Arabidopsis thaliana: one gene and its partner. The protein of the gene in region 1 interacts with the protein of each later gene in a pairwise test. Each region holds a gene or a part of one and is shown on either strand. Other genes may lie near its edges.

Region 1 (8,008 bases):
CCGGAGTCCCATTCGATCACCTAGGAAGAGTGTGAGCAGGAGTCCAGTCCGATCATCTAGGAAGAGTGTGAGCAGAAGTCCGGTTCGTTCATCCAGGAGACGTATCAGCAGGAGTCCAGTCCGATCATCTAGGAAGAGTGTGAGCAGGAGTCCTATTCGATTGTCCAGAAGAAGTATCAGCAGGAGTCCTATTCGATTGTCCAGGAGAAGTATCAGCAGGAGTCCTGTTAGAGGAAGAAGAAGAATTAGCAGAAGTCCAGTTCCGGCAAGGAGAAGGAGTGTGCGGCCTAGATCTCCTCCTCCTGACCGCAGAAGAAGTTTGTCAAGAAGTGCTTCTCCTAATGGGCGCATAAGGAGAGGGAGAGGATTTAGCCAAAGATTCTCATACGCCCGTCGATACAGAACTAGTCCATCTCCTGATCGATCTCCTTATCGCTTTAGTGATAGGAGTGACCGTGACAGGTGAATAGCCCACACATAATATAACTCCCCCTTTCTGTTACACACTCTCGTACTGAACCGTCTTTTTTATAACGTCTTCTCTGTAGATTTAGAAGTCGCAGAAGGTTCTCGCCAAGTCGGTTCAGAAGCCCACTAAGAGGAAGAACACCTCCAAGGTACTTATCCTCTTTAGTACATTGTTTCAGCTGATTCTTTACATCTAAAAGTTTCATGAATATGGAACTAAAATTGGTGATCCAAAAGAATTATTCTTGATTTCACAACTCGAAAGTATGCTCAGGTATAGAAGAAGAAGCCGCTCAGTATCGCCTGGTCTCTGTTATCGCAACCGGCGGTACAGCCGCAGCCCTATCCGTAGCCGATCTCCACCTTACAGAAAGAGAAGGTCACCATCCGCTAGCCACAGCCTGAGTCCATCGAGGTCAAGATCAAGATCAAAGTCATATTCAAAATCTCCCATTGGGACGGGGAAAGCAAGATCAGTGTCAAGATCACCATCCAAGGCAAGGTCTCCATCGAAGTCGGATTCGACATCCTCGGATAATAGCCCAGGTGGGAAAAAGGGATTAGTAGCCTATGATTAATGAATAATGATTACCCTTAAGTTAAGTGTTTGTTCTTTTTACTGAGAAGAGATGGTAAAGAGAGTAAGTAGTTTACTTCTGTAAAACATAAGCATTGTCTTTTGCGTATGTTTGTTTGATTATGCTCCAAGATTGTTAAAAATTTCTGTTGATGTTTGCCGACATTTTTTCTTTGTTGCCATTTGCCGACAAATGTTAACTTCCATTATTCGTTGCGGAGTTGGTTTTGGTCCAATAATTAAACTTTCATAAAATTAAGCATAACTAAATGTGACGTTTGTCACCAAACTTTAGAACAACGACATCGTAATTTATTTATTTGGATAATCAATATAATTTACGATTTCTTCCTACATATATATCATATCACTATACCACCGTCATTATCACTATCACTAAATATAAAAATGTTAAAATGATTTCTTAATGGAATTTTTTTTGTTAAAAGTTTATTGACACAAAAAATGAATTAAAACTCAGAAATCTGTATACTGAATTAAAACTTGTAAATATAACAACAAAATGGGATTAAAAAAAGAAGTGGCATCCATTTAAAAATTATTTGCGAATTCGCCCGTAACTTCTTAAGCTAACAATTAGAACCTAATCAACACTAGTTATTTTGAGTCCACCGACAGGTGATAGCAAATAAAAAAGAACAGGCTGGTACCAGAGCCAACAACAACGTGGCTTCTTCTTTTTTTTTTTTAATATAATCAAACAATCATACTTTGTCCTATCTCTTTCTTGCAATAAGATTTTGCCACGTCACATACTAAGAAGCTGGCGCGTCTAGTGGGGAAGCCAGAACGGCTCACTTTAAAAAGTAGAGAGATGATAACTTGAGCCGAATAGAGCCGAGCTGAGCTAAAACGGTGGGAGAGGAAGAGGCTACTACTACCGTCACCATCTCCGGTAAAATAATGTACTTGTCATTTAAAAATTAAGAAAAAACACATCACTCTGCGATAAAATAGGCAAAAGCAGATTTGAAGAAGAAGCAGCTTGAGATATCAAATAGAGAGAGAGAGTGACAGAGGAGTGTGTGAACATCCTTTTTTAGTAGATTTGGGTTTTCGAGATGCCGTATTGAATCGGCTACGAATTTCCCAATTTTGAATTTTGTGAATCTCTCTCTTTCTCTGTGTGTCGGTGGCTGCGATGGAGGCCAGTGCCGGCTTGGTTGCTGGATCCTACCGGAGAAACGAGCTCGTTCGGATCCGACATGAATCTGATGGCGGGGTCTGTTCATCTTCCCTTTTTCCCATTTTTTTGTTATTGTTTTTCGTTCTTACAATTTTTGATGTGTAGATCTCATCTAGATTTCTCTGTTTCTAAATCTCGTCTCTTTTGGATCCATAATTGGATCATTGAAACTCAGATTTCGCTTCCTTTGACTGTGTAGTTAGTTAGTGTCAGTTGATCAAGTAAGTGTCTGAAAATGGAAACTTTTCTGCTCCAATTCTTCAAATTGTTGTGATCTATATCAATTAATGCCGCATCTGTTTTCTTAAAATCTCTTATGGAAAGTGTCGGTGGATTTCAGTTCGTTAACTTTTTTAAGCTAAAATCTTTGACTCTTAAAGTTTAGCTTTACTTATTGAGATTTAGCTCAACTAGATCTCGTTAGTTCCCGCCATGGGATACAGACTGTGACTCGCCTTAATTCAGATCTGCATTGATTGTTTTGATTTAGATCCTTGCTCATCTCTTTCTGTAGTTTCTAATACTCAATGACTAACAATGATGCAATGTTGGTCAAAGTGCAGACCAAACCTTTGAAGAATATGAATGGCCAGATATGTCAGATCTGTGGTGATGATGTTGGACTCGCTGAAACTGGAGATGTCTTTGTCGCGTGTAATGAATGTGCCTTCCCTGTGTGTCGGCCTTGCTATGAGTACGAGAGGAAAGATGGAACTCAGTGTTGCCCTCAATGCAAGACTAGATTCAGACGACACAGGGGTCAGTTGTCTTTTTCTTTTTGTTGGCAATTGCTATATATGGATTTTCTCTTTTTGTTTCTTTGCTGTTGTGTTGAACAATTTTTTGGAATTTTCCAGGGAGTCCTCGTGTTGAAGGAGATGAAGATGAGGATGATGTTGATGATATCGAGAATGAGTTCAATTACGCCCAGGGAGCTAACAAGGCGAGACACCAACGCCATGGCGAAGAGTTTTCTTCTTCCTCTAGACATGAATCTCAACCAATTCCTCTTCTCACCCATGGCCATACGGTAGGGACCTACATTTTCCCTTTAGACTCTAGAGTGATTTGTATTACTCAATAAATCCCTAGAGTGGTCATTTATTACTTACTATTCACGTTAATGTTATATGTGAACAAATCTTAACAGAATTTTTTTCTGATAGTACATGGTCATCCAAATTAAGAAATAATAATAGATGTTGTTAGTTGTGTCTGTTTTCAATAGATTCATGACCTTTTTCTATACACAGGTTTCTGGAGAGATTCGCACGCCTGATACACAATCTGTGCGAACTACATCAGGTCCTTTGGGTCCTTCTGACAGGAATGCTATTTCATCTCCATATATTGATCCACGGCAACCTGGTATTCATATGTTTTTCCCTTGTGCACGTGGTCTTTGTTAAATGTGATTCCTATTCATTTTTACAACATATATATTTTGTGTACCGTAACTGATAGCTCCCGCTAAAAATTGCAGTCCCTGTAAGAATCGTGGACCCGTCAAAAGACTTGAACTCTTATGGGCTTGGTAATGTTGACTGGAAAGAAAGAGTTGAAGGCTGGAAGCTGAAGCAGGAGAAAAATATGTTACAGATGACTGGTAAATACCATGAAGGGAAAGGAGGAGAAATTGAAGGGACTGGTTCCAATGGCGAAGAACTCCAAATGTAAGTGGAAATACTAGACCAATATCTTTATTGTCCAACTCAAACAGCTCTTGGCCGTGATGCTAATAACCACTCTTGGTTTCTTATTATGTATTGATAGACATAATTAAGTATCTGCTTTGTTACATTTGTTTCCTTCCACTCAATTATGGTTCTCGTACTTACAGGGCTGATGATACACGTCTTCCTATGAGTCGTGTGGTGCCTATCCCATCTTCTCGCCTAACCCCTTATCGGGTTGTGATTATTCTCCGGCTTATCATCTTGTGTTTCTTCTTGCAATATCGTACAACTCACCCTGTGAAAAATGCATATCCTTTGTGGTTGACCTCGGTTATCTGTGAGATCTGGTTTGCATTTTCTTGGCTTCTTGATCAGTTTCCCAAATGGTACCCCATTAACAGGGAGACTTATCTTGACCGTCTCGCTATAAGGTTGGTCTTTAAGTTTATACATCCCCTACTCTCATCTCTCTTTTATGTATTAACTTGATATCTTCTATCACAGTTTTCGATAGTTGACTTTTTCCCCCTGTAAATTTAATTTAAATTTAGACAATGGTGCATCTGAATTTTGATTATGATATATCTTAAGAAGATTATGATTGTAAATCTTGAAATTTAGTAGAAAACCATCTGCAATCTACTGACCATGTGAAGTTTCCGACTAGACTATGATAGAAGCATGCCAAGTGGAGTGTTTATTAAGATAGAGCTTAGCTATTATACTGATTTTATATGTGTTTTGATTTTTTGGTTTCTTATTGTAGATATGATCGAGACGGTGAACCATCACAGCTCGTTCCTGTTGATGTGTTTGTTAGTACAGTGGACCCATTGAAAGAGCCTCCCCTTGTTACAGCAAACACAGTTCTCTCGATTCTTTCTGTGGACTACCCGGTAGATAAAGTAGCCTGTTATGTTTCAGATGATGGTTCAGCTATGCTTACCTTTGAATCCCTTTCTGAAACCGCTGAGTTTGCAAAGAAATGGGTACCATTTTGCAAGAAATTCAACATTGAACCTAGGGCCCCTGAATTCTATTTTGCCCAGAAGATAGATTACTTGAAGGACAAGATCCAACCGTCTTTTGTTAAAGAGCGACGAGCTATGAAGGTCATTTGAAAAGTCCACCTGCTTCTCATCCATACGGCAAAGAGATTGACTGACTTTTTCTTTGGTTTGTATTGACAGAGAGAGTATGAAGAGTTTAAAGTGAGGATAAATGCTCTTGTTGCCAAAGCACAGAAAATCCCTGAAGAAGGCTGGACAATGCAGGATGGTACTCCCTGGCCTGGTAACAACACTAGAGATCATCCTGGAATGATACAGGTACAGTGTGGCAATCCCTTGATTGTGACAGAGAGGATAACGTAAAGGAAACATGTTTACATCGTTTTGTTTCAATTTCAGGTGTTCTTAGGCCATAGTGGGGGTCTGGATACCGATGGAAATGAGCTGCCTAGACTCATCTATGTTTCTCGTGAAAAGCGGCCTGGATTTCAACACCACAAAAAGGCTGGAGCTATGAATGCATTGGTTTGTTAACTTTCAGAATCCTATTGTGTCCTCTATTTTATTCTCTTGTTCACTGCCTAAGAAACGTTCTTCTTGTGTAGCCGTTGCTTCACATTCTTTTTTTTCTAGGCTATGTGTTCTCTCCTAATTTAGTATCTCTTTACTTTGACAGATCCGTGTATCTGCTGTTCTTACCAATGGAGCATATCTTTTGAACGTGGATTGTGATCATTACTTTAATAACAGTAAGGCTATTAAAGAAGCTATGTGTTTCATGATGGACCCGGCTATTGGAAAGAAGTGCTGCTATGTCCAGTTCCCTCAACGTTTTGACGGTATTGATTTGCACGATCGATATGCCAACAGGAATATAGTCTTTTTCGATGTGAGTATCACTTCCCCATTGTCTTTTGTTTCTCTTTTGTTCATATTTTGGTTGGATTTACTCGTTTCTGCTATGGCCTGACTTGGATATTTGTTCTCTTGGGCAGATTAACATGAAGGGGTTGGATGGTATCCAGGGTCCAGTATATGTGGGTACTGGTTGTTGTTTTAATAGGCAGGCTCTATATGGGTATGATCCTGTTTTGACGGAAGAAGATTTAGAACCAAATATTATTGTCAAGAGCTGTTGCGGGTCAAGGAAGAAAGGTAAAAGTAGCAAGAAGTATAACTACGAAAAGAGGAGAGGCATCAACAGAAGTGACTCCAATGCTCCACTTTTCAATATGGAGGACATCGATGAGGGTTTTGAAGGTTTGATTGAGCTGATTGTGTAATAACATCACTTCTTTATGTAATGATTTATGTGATGGTGAAATCTTACAATCCTTGTTTATGCAGGTTATGATGATGAGAGGTCTATTCTAATGTCCCAGAGGAGTGTAGAGAAGCGTTTTGGTCAGTCGCCGGTATTTATTGCGGCAACCTTCATGGAACAAGGCGGCATTCCACCAACAACCAATCCCGCTACTCTTCTGAAGGAGGCTATTCATGTTATAAGCTGTGGTTACGAAGACAAGACTGAATGGGGCAAAGAGGTCAGTTTTCAAATGCAGCTACAGAATCTTCTTATGTTCTCTTTCTTACCTGTTTGATGACATCTTATTTGGCACTTTTGTTAGATTGGTTGGATCTATGGTTCCGTGACGGAAGATATTCTTACTGGGTTCAAGATGCATGCCCGGGGTTGGATATCGATCTACTGCAATCCTCCACGCCCTGCGTTCAAGGGATCTGCACCAATCAATCTTTCTGATCGTTTGAACCAAGTTCTTCGATGGGCTTTGGGATCTATCGAGATTCTTCTTAGCAGACATTGTCCTATCTGGTATGGTTACCATGGAAGGTTGAGACTTTTGGAGAGGATCGCTTATATCAACACCATCGTCTATCCTATTACATCCATCCCTCTTATTGCGTATTGTATTCTTCCCGCTTTTTGTCTCATCACCGACAGATTCATCATACCCGAGGTTTGTAAAACTGACCACACTGCTATTTACTATTTGAATCCCATTTTGTGAATGCATTTTTTTGTCATCATCATTGTTGCAGATAAGCAACTACGCGAGTATTTGGTTCATTCTACTCTTCATCTCAATTGCTGTGACTGGAATCCTGGAGCTGAGATGGAGCGGTGTGAGCATTGAGGATTGGTGGAGGAACGAGCAGTTCTGGGTCATTGGTGGCACATCCGCCCATCTTTTTGCTGTCTTCCAAGGTCTACTTAAGGTTCTTGCTGGTATCGACACCAACTTCACCGTTACATCTAAAGCCACAGACGAAGATGGGGATTTTGCAGAACTCTACATCTTCAAATGGACAGCTCTTCTCATTCCACCAACCACCGTCCTACTTGTGAACCTCATAGGCATTGTGGCTGGTGTCTCTTATGCTGTAAACAGTGGCTACCAGTCGTGGGGTCCGCTTTTCGGGAAGCTCTTCTTCGCCTTATGGGTTATTGCCCATCTCTACCCTTTCTTGAAAGGTCTGTTGGGAAGACAAAACCGAACACCAACCATCGTCATTGTCTGGTCTGTTCTTCTCGCCTCCATCTTCTCGTTGCTTTGGGTCAGGATCAATCCCTTTGTGGACGCCAATCCCAATGCCAACAACTTCAATGGCAAAGGAGGTGTCTTTTAGACCCTATTTATATACTTGTGTGTGCATATATCAAAAACGCGCAATGGGAATTCCAAATCATCTAAACCCATCAAACCCCAGTGAACCGGGCAGTTAAGGTGATTCCATGTCCAAGATTAGCTTTCTCCGAGTAGCCAGAGAAGGTGAAATTGTTCGTAACACTATTGTAATGATTTTCCAGTGGGGAAGAAGATGTGGACCCAAATGATACATAGTCTACAAAAAGAATTTGTTATTCTTTCTTATATTTATTTTATTTAAAGCTTGTTAGACTCACACTTATGTAATGTTGGAACTTGTTGTCCTAAAAAGGGATTGGAGTTTTCTTTTTATCTAAGAATCTGAAGTTTATATGCTAAGCTTTTCACTTTACTACAAAAAGTTTATGGATATGATGGTGTACGTCAATTGTTGGTGCAAG
Region 2 (5,292 bases), on another chromosome or scaffold:
AAGCTTAAAATAAATCGAAAATTTTATATATTAATTAAAACTTATAATTTGTTTAGTTCTGTTTTCTTTCTCAGTGACTGTTGATTTTATATATAATTGTGTCTGACCTAAATTGTATTGCGTATGATTGAAACTTGTATGATTTGTAGAAAAGAGAGAGAGGAGGAGTGTCTATATGTTTTTATTTCTTTTTGTCTTGGATCCATTACCATATCTATAGGTCTCAGATTCTATGTTTACAACCTAAACTGTTTTCATTATCTATGAAATATTTACAATTTAGCAAAAAAAACAATGACAATCTACTCATCAAGAGGACTAGATGATGACTTTCAAATCTTTTTTTTTTGGTTTTTTTTTTTTTTGGCAAAGATGACTTTCAAATCTTTGCAAACAAAATCAAAATGTAAAAAATGAGAGAGAGAAACCAAAAATAATAATGAGAAAATAGTCTATTAAGAAAAGATGTACGTAAGAATTAAGTTAAAATGTAACACTAAAATAAAAGAAAAAATCAAATGTATGATAAGACCCTCATCAAACCATTATATTGAAGTAAATTATATATGTATGAAAATGAAATATCAAAGAGTTCTTTTACTCTCACTTATGACACGCTAAATTAAAACCACTAAAAACCATAATATTAATTTCACGGCTACAAGTTGATGCTTCCTCAAACTTACTACGTTCCAATGCCGGGCACTGATTAAATATGGACTTCACATCTTTTTTTTTTTTTTTAGATATTCATTTCCAAACGGTCTATTGACAGATGGGCTAAGAATTTCACGGGTTACAAAAAAGTGGTCCAAATCGGAACATAATAGAAACAAGATCAGTAAAACGACGGTTCACCGGCCGGAGACGCAGCCTTCACCTTCTATATCCGATGCAAATTTAACATATTTCGAACGAATCTATGAGATCTATATGAGAATTTTGCTTCTTGGGTTTTATACGGTTCGGGAAAGTGGATGTATCAAGTTGTGACAAGAAGCATCAAAGAATATGACTTTGTCCAGTCATTTTTATGGTATAGTGATGATCGTCAATGATCATAATTGGCTAGGAAGAAAGAGCACATGTGCATTCATATGATTATCATAATTGTGCATATCATATGCTTTTATGGGCATAGTTGTCGATAGAAACAAAACATGCGTCGAGGAAAAAACAAAAGAATAGTTAAAACTTAGAATCTTTGATTCTCATGAGCCATGAGGCCATGTGCTTTTTCTCTCCCACGTTATATGTTTTACCATCCTTATAATTTGCTCCCCCGACTTCTCTCACTTTCAGACGAAAAGAACTGCTGTCGCGATTTTTGAACAATTATGGAAAATAATTTAGATGTGAAGGAAGCCGTAAAAATAGTTATTATACTTTTTGTCCATATATATAGAATTCGTGATGATTATGTTGTGGATGACAATTGGTGGTAGATAGAAACCTTTACTATCGCCATTGTTATGGGCTAATTAATCAAGTTTGGTAACAAATCAACATAATAGGACCAATAACAACAACTACTGCAGATCTTACTATTATTCTTTTTATTAATTCATCAGTATATTTTATTATTTTTTCTTGATTGTTTATCCGATTGATCTTGTAAGAGATAACTTTTGATTATTACATAACTTACTTCAACATGTTAAATGACACAATAAAATAGACAATTTATTTTTGATATCCTTTTGAAAAATATTAAATAAATATTTGTAATGACTGTGTTGCACTAAAAAATCGAGATAACCCCATGAGTGATAATTTGGTAACATAATCTAAACTTAGAGACAATTAACTAATTAAGTTATTATCTGAGAAATAAATTAGACAATATTTTTATTCGTGTGTGTAATTTTTGTGGTATAATATTTTTTCTTATATTGTTTCAATTCTACGGATGTTTTGGATAAAAAGGTTAATCAAATTTATAAAATGTAAAATTTTGCTTGAACAAATGAACCAAAATGTTTACTAATTGGCTAATTGCTGGAAAAAAACAGTTATATAATTTTTGTTAACAAAAAAAATGTTTGATGTAAATAATTAATTCACAGCTAAAAGTCAATTTCCTCATTTATTTTTGATTAAAGAAAGTAATAAAAAACAATTAAGTATACCATTCGCTGTACAAGAGTCGTTTAGTTCTGTCGGCTCGACAACCGACTCAAGCCGGCTCGAGTCGCTAAGTGAATCCACTCGCTGTCTGTCGGTGGACAAAGCCGGCTCCAATCTGATCACTCTCTCTCACCAGCACACACACAGCTCTCTCTCTTCCCTCTCTCTCTCCCCCGCTTTATACTTTGTTGAGTCAAAATCACAGACGAAGAAGAAGAAGAAACCTCTCTCTCACTCCTCTCTCCTTTCTCTCGTCTTATTCGCTTCTCTTCTACGTAACAGATTGTTCATCTTCTTCTCCTTGTTGCATTGAGGTGAGTTCAATTTGATCTATCAATGTCTAAATGCATGCTTTTTGAATTATCGGATCTCTTGTGTTTGATTTCATTGATAGAGATCCAATTATGATCTAGATCTGAAGAATCCTGTTTTTTGAGTTCCTATTGGTTAAAAAGTTTCCTCATTTAGCTTTAGTTCGAATCTGGAATGTTAAACGATTCGGATCGAGATTTAGCAGTAGTAGAATTCAGTTAGGTAGAGTGATATTTTTATACTATTAGTCTTCAATTATAATATAATTGCATTGAGCTTTTCCTACTTCACTGTATCGTTTTCTATTGTAAAGATTGATCCTTTTTATATATTATGCAGGGGGTGTTGTTGATGTTCTGACGATCTGATTTGAGTAGATCTGGGTAGGGGGCAAGGTCTCTGGGTCTACTTTTGATTTGAGAATTTTTTAAGTGAAGTGAAGATATGACAAGTGCTCTTGGATGGAGATTTCCTTCCACTAATGGAAATGGCCTTGCCCCAAGTGACACGGTAATAATTACTTGATTCAGTATTAACATTCATCACACGGGTTTATGGAAAAGCTTGTTTAGTTGATATACTGCAATCTTTCTGAGTTGCAAAGTCAGATCTGGTGTATTAGCAGGATGATTAAGCTGATATGTCCCTTGCATTTTGAATCTGATTTGAAAAAAGTACTTGAGCTAAGTCCATTGTTAATTAATGGCTTTGTACCAGTCAGTTATATCTGATAGAGTGTCATGATAAAGGTTATAGTTTTTCCATTGCATAGGAGCGAAAAGGTCTTGTTGCTCTTTTAACTTATTTTCTGTTGTTTGGTCTTGATTGCAGGAGAGAAATGGGGATATGAAGATGCATGATTCAGAGCCCCCAACTCCACATTCAACCACAAAGATGAGTTTGAGGTAACGCATATATGTATTTGGTACTGCATGGGAGCTAATCATCGTGATAAAATTGAGGTTTTATCTGTATTTGTTGCACCACCATCTTGGTTTAACAATGCCTGTGGAAATTAATATTATCTGGATTGGTTTCCTATGTTATCCTTTCAAATGAGACATTTTAAGCAGAAAGGCACACCTATTAGCGAATTAGTATCTAACTTTCCCCATCCCCTGCAGAGACCGGACAACCAGCATGGAAGATCCAGATGGGACATTAGCAAGTGTTGCCCAATGCATTGAGCAGCTGCGCCAAGGTTCATCATCTGCACAAGAAAGAGAATATTGTCTGAAGCAGTTACTGGACCTTATAGAAATGCGTGAGAATGCATTCAGTGCTGTCGGATCACACTCCCAAGCTGTGCCAGTACTTGTCTCTCTTCTCCGATCGGGATCAGTTGGAGTGAAGATACAAGCTGCAACCGTCTTGGGTTCACTCTGCAAGGAGAACGAACTTAGAGTTAAGGTGTTACTTGGGGGATGCATTCCTCCATTGCTTGGTCTTCTCAAGTCCAGTTCAGTCGAAGGGCAGATCGCTGCAGCAAAGACAATCTATGCTGTTTCTGAAGGTGGGGTTAAAGACCATGTTGGATCAAAAATATTTTCCACTGAGGGAGTTGTACCGGTTCTGTGGGACCAATTGCGCAGTGGAAATAAAAAAGGAGAGGTTGATGGTTTGTTAACTGGTGCACTTAAGAACCTTTCTAGTACCACAGAGGGATTTTGGTCTGAGACAATTCGAGCTGGGGGAGTGGATGTACTTGTGAAGCTGCTCACAAGCGGGCAGTCAAGTACACTATCTAATGTCTGCTTCCTTCTTGCGTGTATGATGATGGAAGACGCCTCTGTTTGTTCCAGTGTATTGACTGCAGACATTACAAAACAGCTTCTCAAATTATTAGGATCGGGTAATGAAGCCCCAGTGAGGGCAGAGGCTGCTGCTGCTCTCAAGTCGCTTTCTGCTCAATCTAAGGAAGCAAAGCGGGAAATCGCTAATTCTAATGGTATTCCTGTTTTAATAAATGCAACAATAGCTCCATCTAAAGAATTCATGCAAGGTGAATATGCGCAAGCATTACAAGAAAATGCAATGTGTGCCCTTGCTAATATTTCCGGTGGTTTGTCATATGTCATATCAAGCCTTGGTCAGAGCCTTGAATCTTGCTCTTCGCCTGCTCAGACTGCCGACACCCTTGGGGCTTTAGCTTCAGCATTGATGATATATGATGGCAAGGCAGAAACTACAAGAGCATCAGATCCATTGGTCGTTGAACAGACTCTGCTGAAGCAGTTTAAGCCTCGTCTACCATTCTTGGTGCAAGAACGTACAATTGAAGCACTTGCAAGTTTGTATGGGAATTCCATACTCTCTGTCAAACTTTCCAACTCGGATGCAAAACGTTTGCTTGTTGGTCTAATAACGATGGCGGTGAATGAGGTTCAAGATGAGCTTGTAAAGGCTCTTCTGATGCTGTGTAACCATGAAGGTAGCCTGTGGCAAGCACTACAGGGCCGTGAAGGGATCCAATTGCTAATATCTCTTTTGGGTCTTTCATCCGAACAGCAGCAAGAATGTGCTGTTGCACTTCTTTGCCTTTTGTCTAACGAAAATGATGAAAGCAAGTGGGCCATCACTGCTGCTGGAGGTATACCTCCACTTGTTCAAATTCTAGAGACTGGGTCGGCCAAAGCCAGGGAAGACTCTGCAACTATCCTTAGGAACTTGTGCAATCATAGCGAAGATATACGTGCTTGTGTTGAAAGTGCGGATGCTGTCCCTGCTCTCTTATGGCTACTAAAGAATGGTAGTCCAAATGGTAAAGAAATTGCCGCCAAGACATTGAATCATTTGATTCATAAATCAGATACTGCAACTATCAGTCAGCTTACTGCTTTGCTGACCAGTGAT

What was found. Proteins that work in one complex are often made in the same cells at the same time.
Region 2: the proteins of CESA1 (region 1) and CSI1 interact in a two-hybrid assay, tested with the Arabidopsis thaliana proteins (one study listed by BioGRID).

Annotation. Positions count from the first base shown.
Region 1 is NC_003075.7:15,640,588-15,648,595, reverse strand, and holds the start of CESA1 (cellulose synthase 1), read left to right. Parts: upstream 1-1,751; 5' UTR 1,752-2,207; coding exon 2,208-2,288; intron 2,289-2,815; coding exon 2,816-3,011; intron 3,012-3,109; coding exon 3,110-3,282; intron 3,283-3,505; coding exon 3,506-3,620; intron 3,621-3,735; coding exon 3,736-3,925; intron 3,926-4,092; coding exon 4,093-4,359; intron 4,360-4,694; coding exon 4,695-5,040; intron 5,041-5,118; coding exon 5,119-5,256; intron 5,257-5,337; coding exon 5,338-5,463; intron 5,464-5,614; coding exon 5,615-5,827; intron 5,828-5,933; coding exon 5,934-6,198; intron 6,199-6,285; coding exon 6,286-6,482; intron 6,483-6,566; coding exon 6,567-6,917; intron 6,918-6,999; coding exon 7,000-7,587; 3' UTR 7,588-8,008. Other genes in the region: AT4G32420 (Cyclophilin-like peptidyl-prolyl cis-trans isomerase family protein), read left to right, coding at 1-462, 549-617, 743-1,046. UniProt on the Arabidopsis thaliana protein: Catalytic subunit of cellulose synthase terminal complexes ('rosettes'), required for beta-1,4-glucan microfibril crystallization, a major mechanism of the cell wall formation. Involved in the primary cell wall formation.
Region 2 is NC_003071.7:9,403,910-9,409,201, forward strand, and holds the start of CSI1 (binding protein), read left to right. Parts: upstream 1-2,149; 5' UTR 2,150-2,441; intron 2,442-2,778; 5' UTR 2,779-2,883; coding exon 2,884-2,949; intron 2,950-3,270; coding exon 3,271-3,344; intron 3,345-3,563; coding exon 3,564-5,292.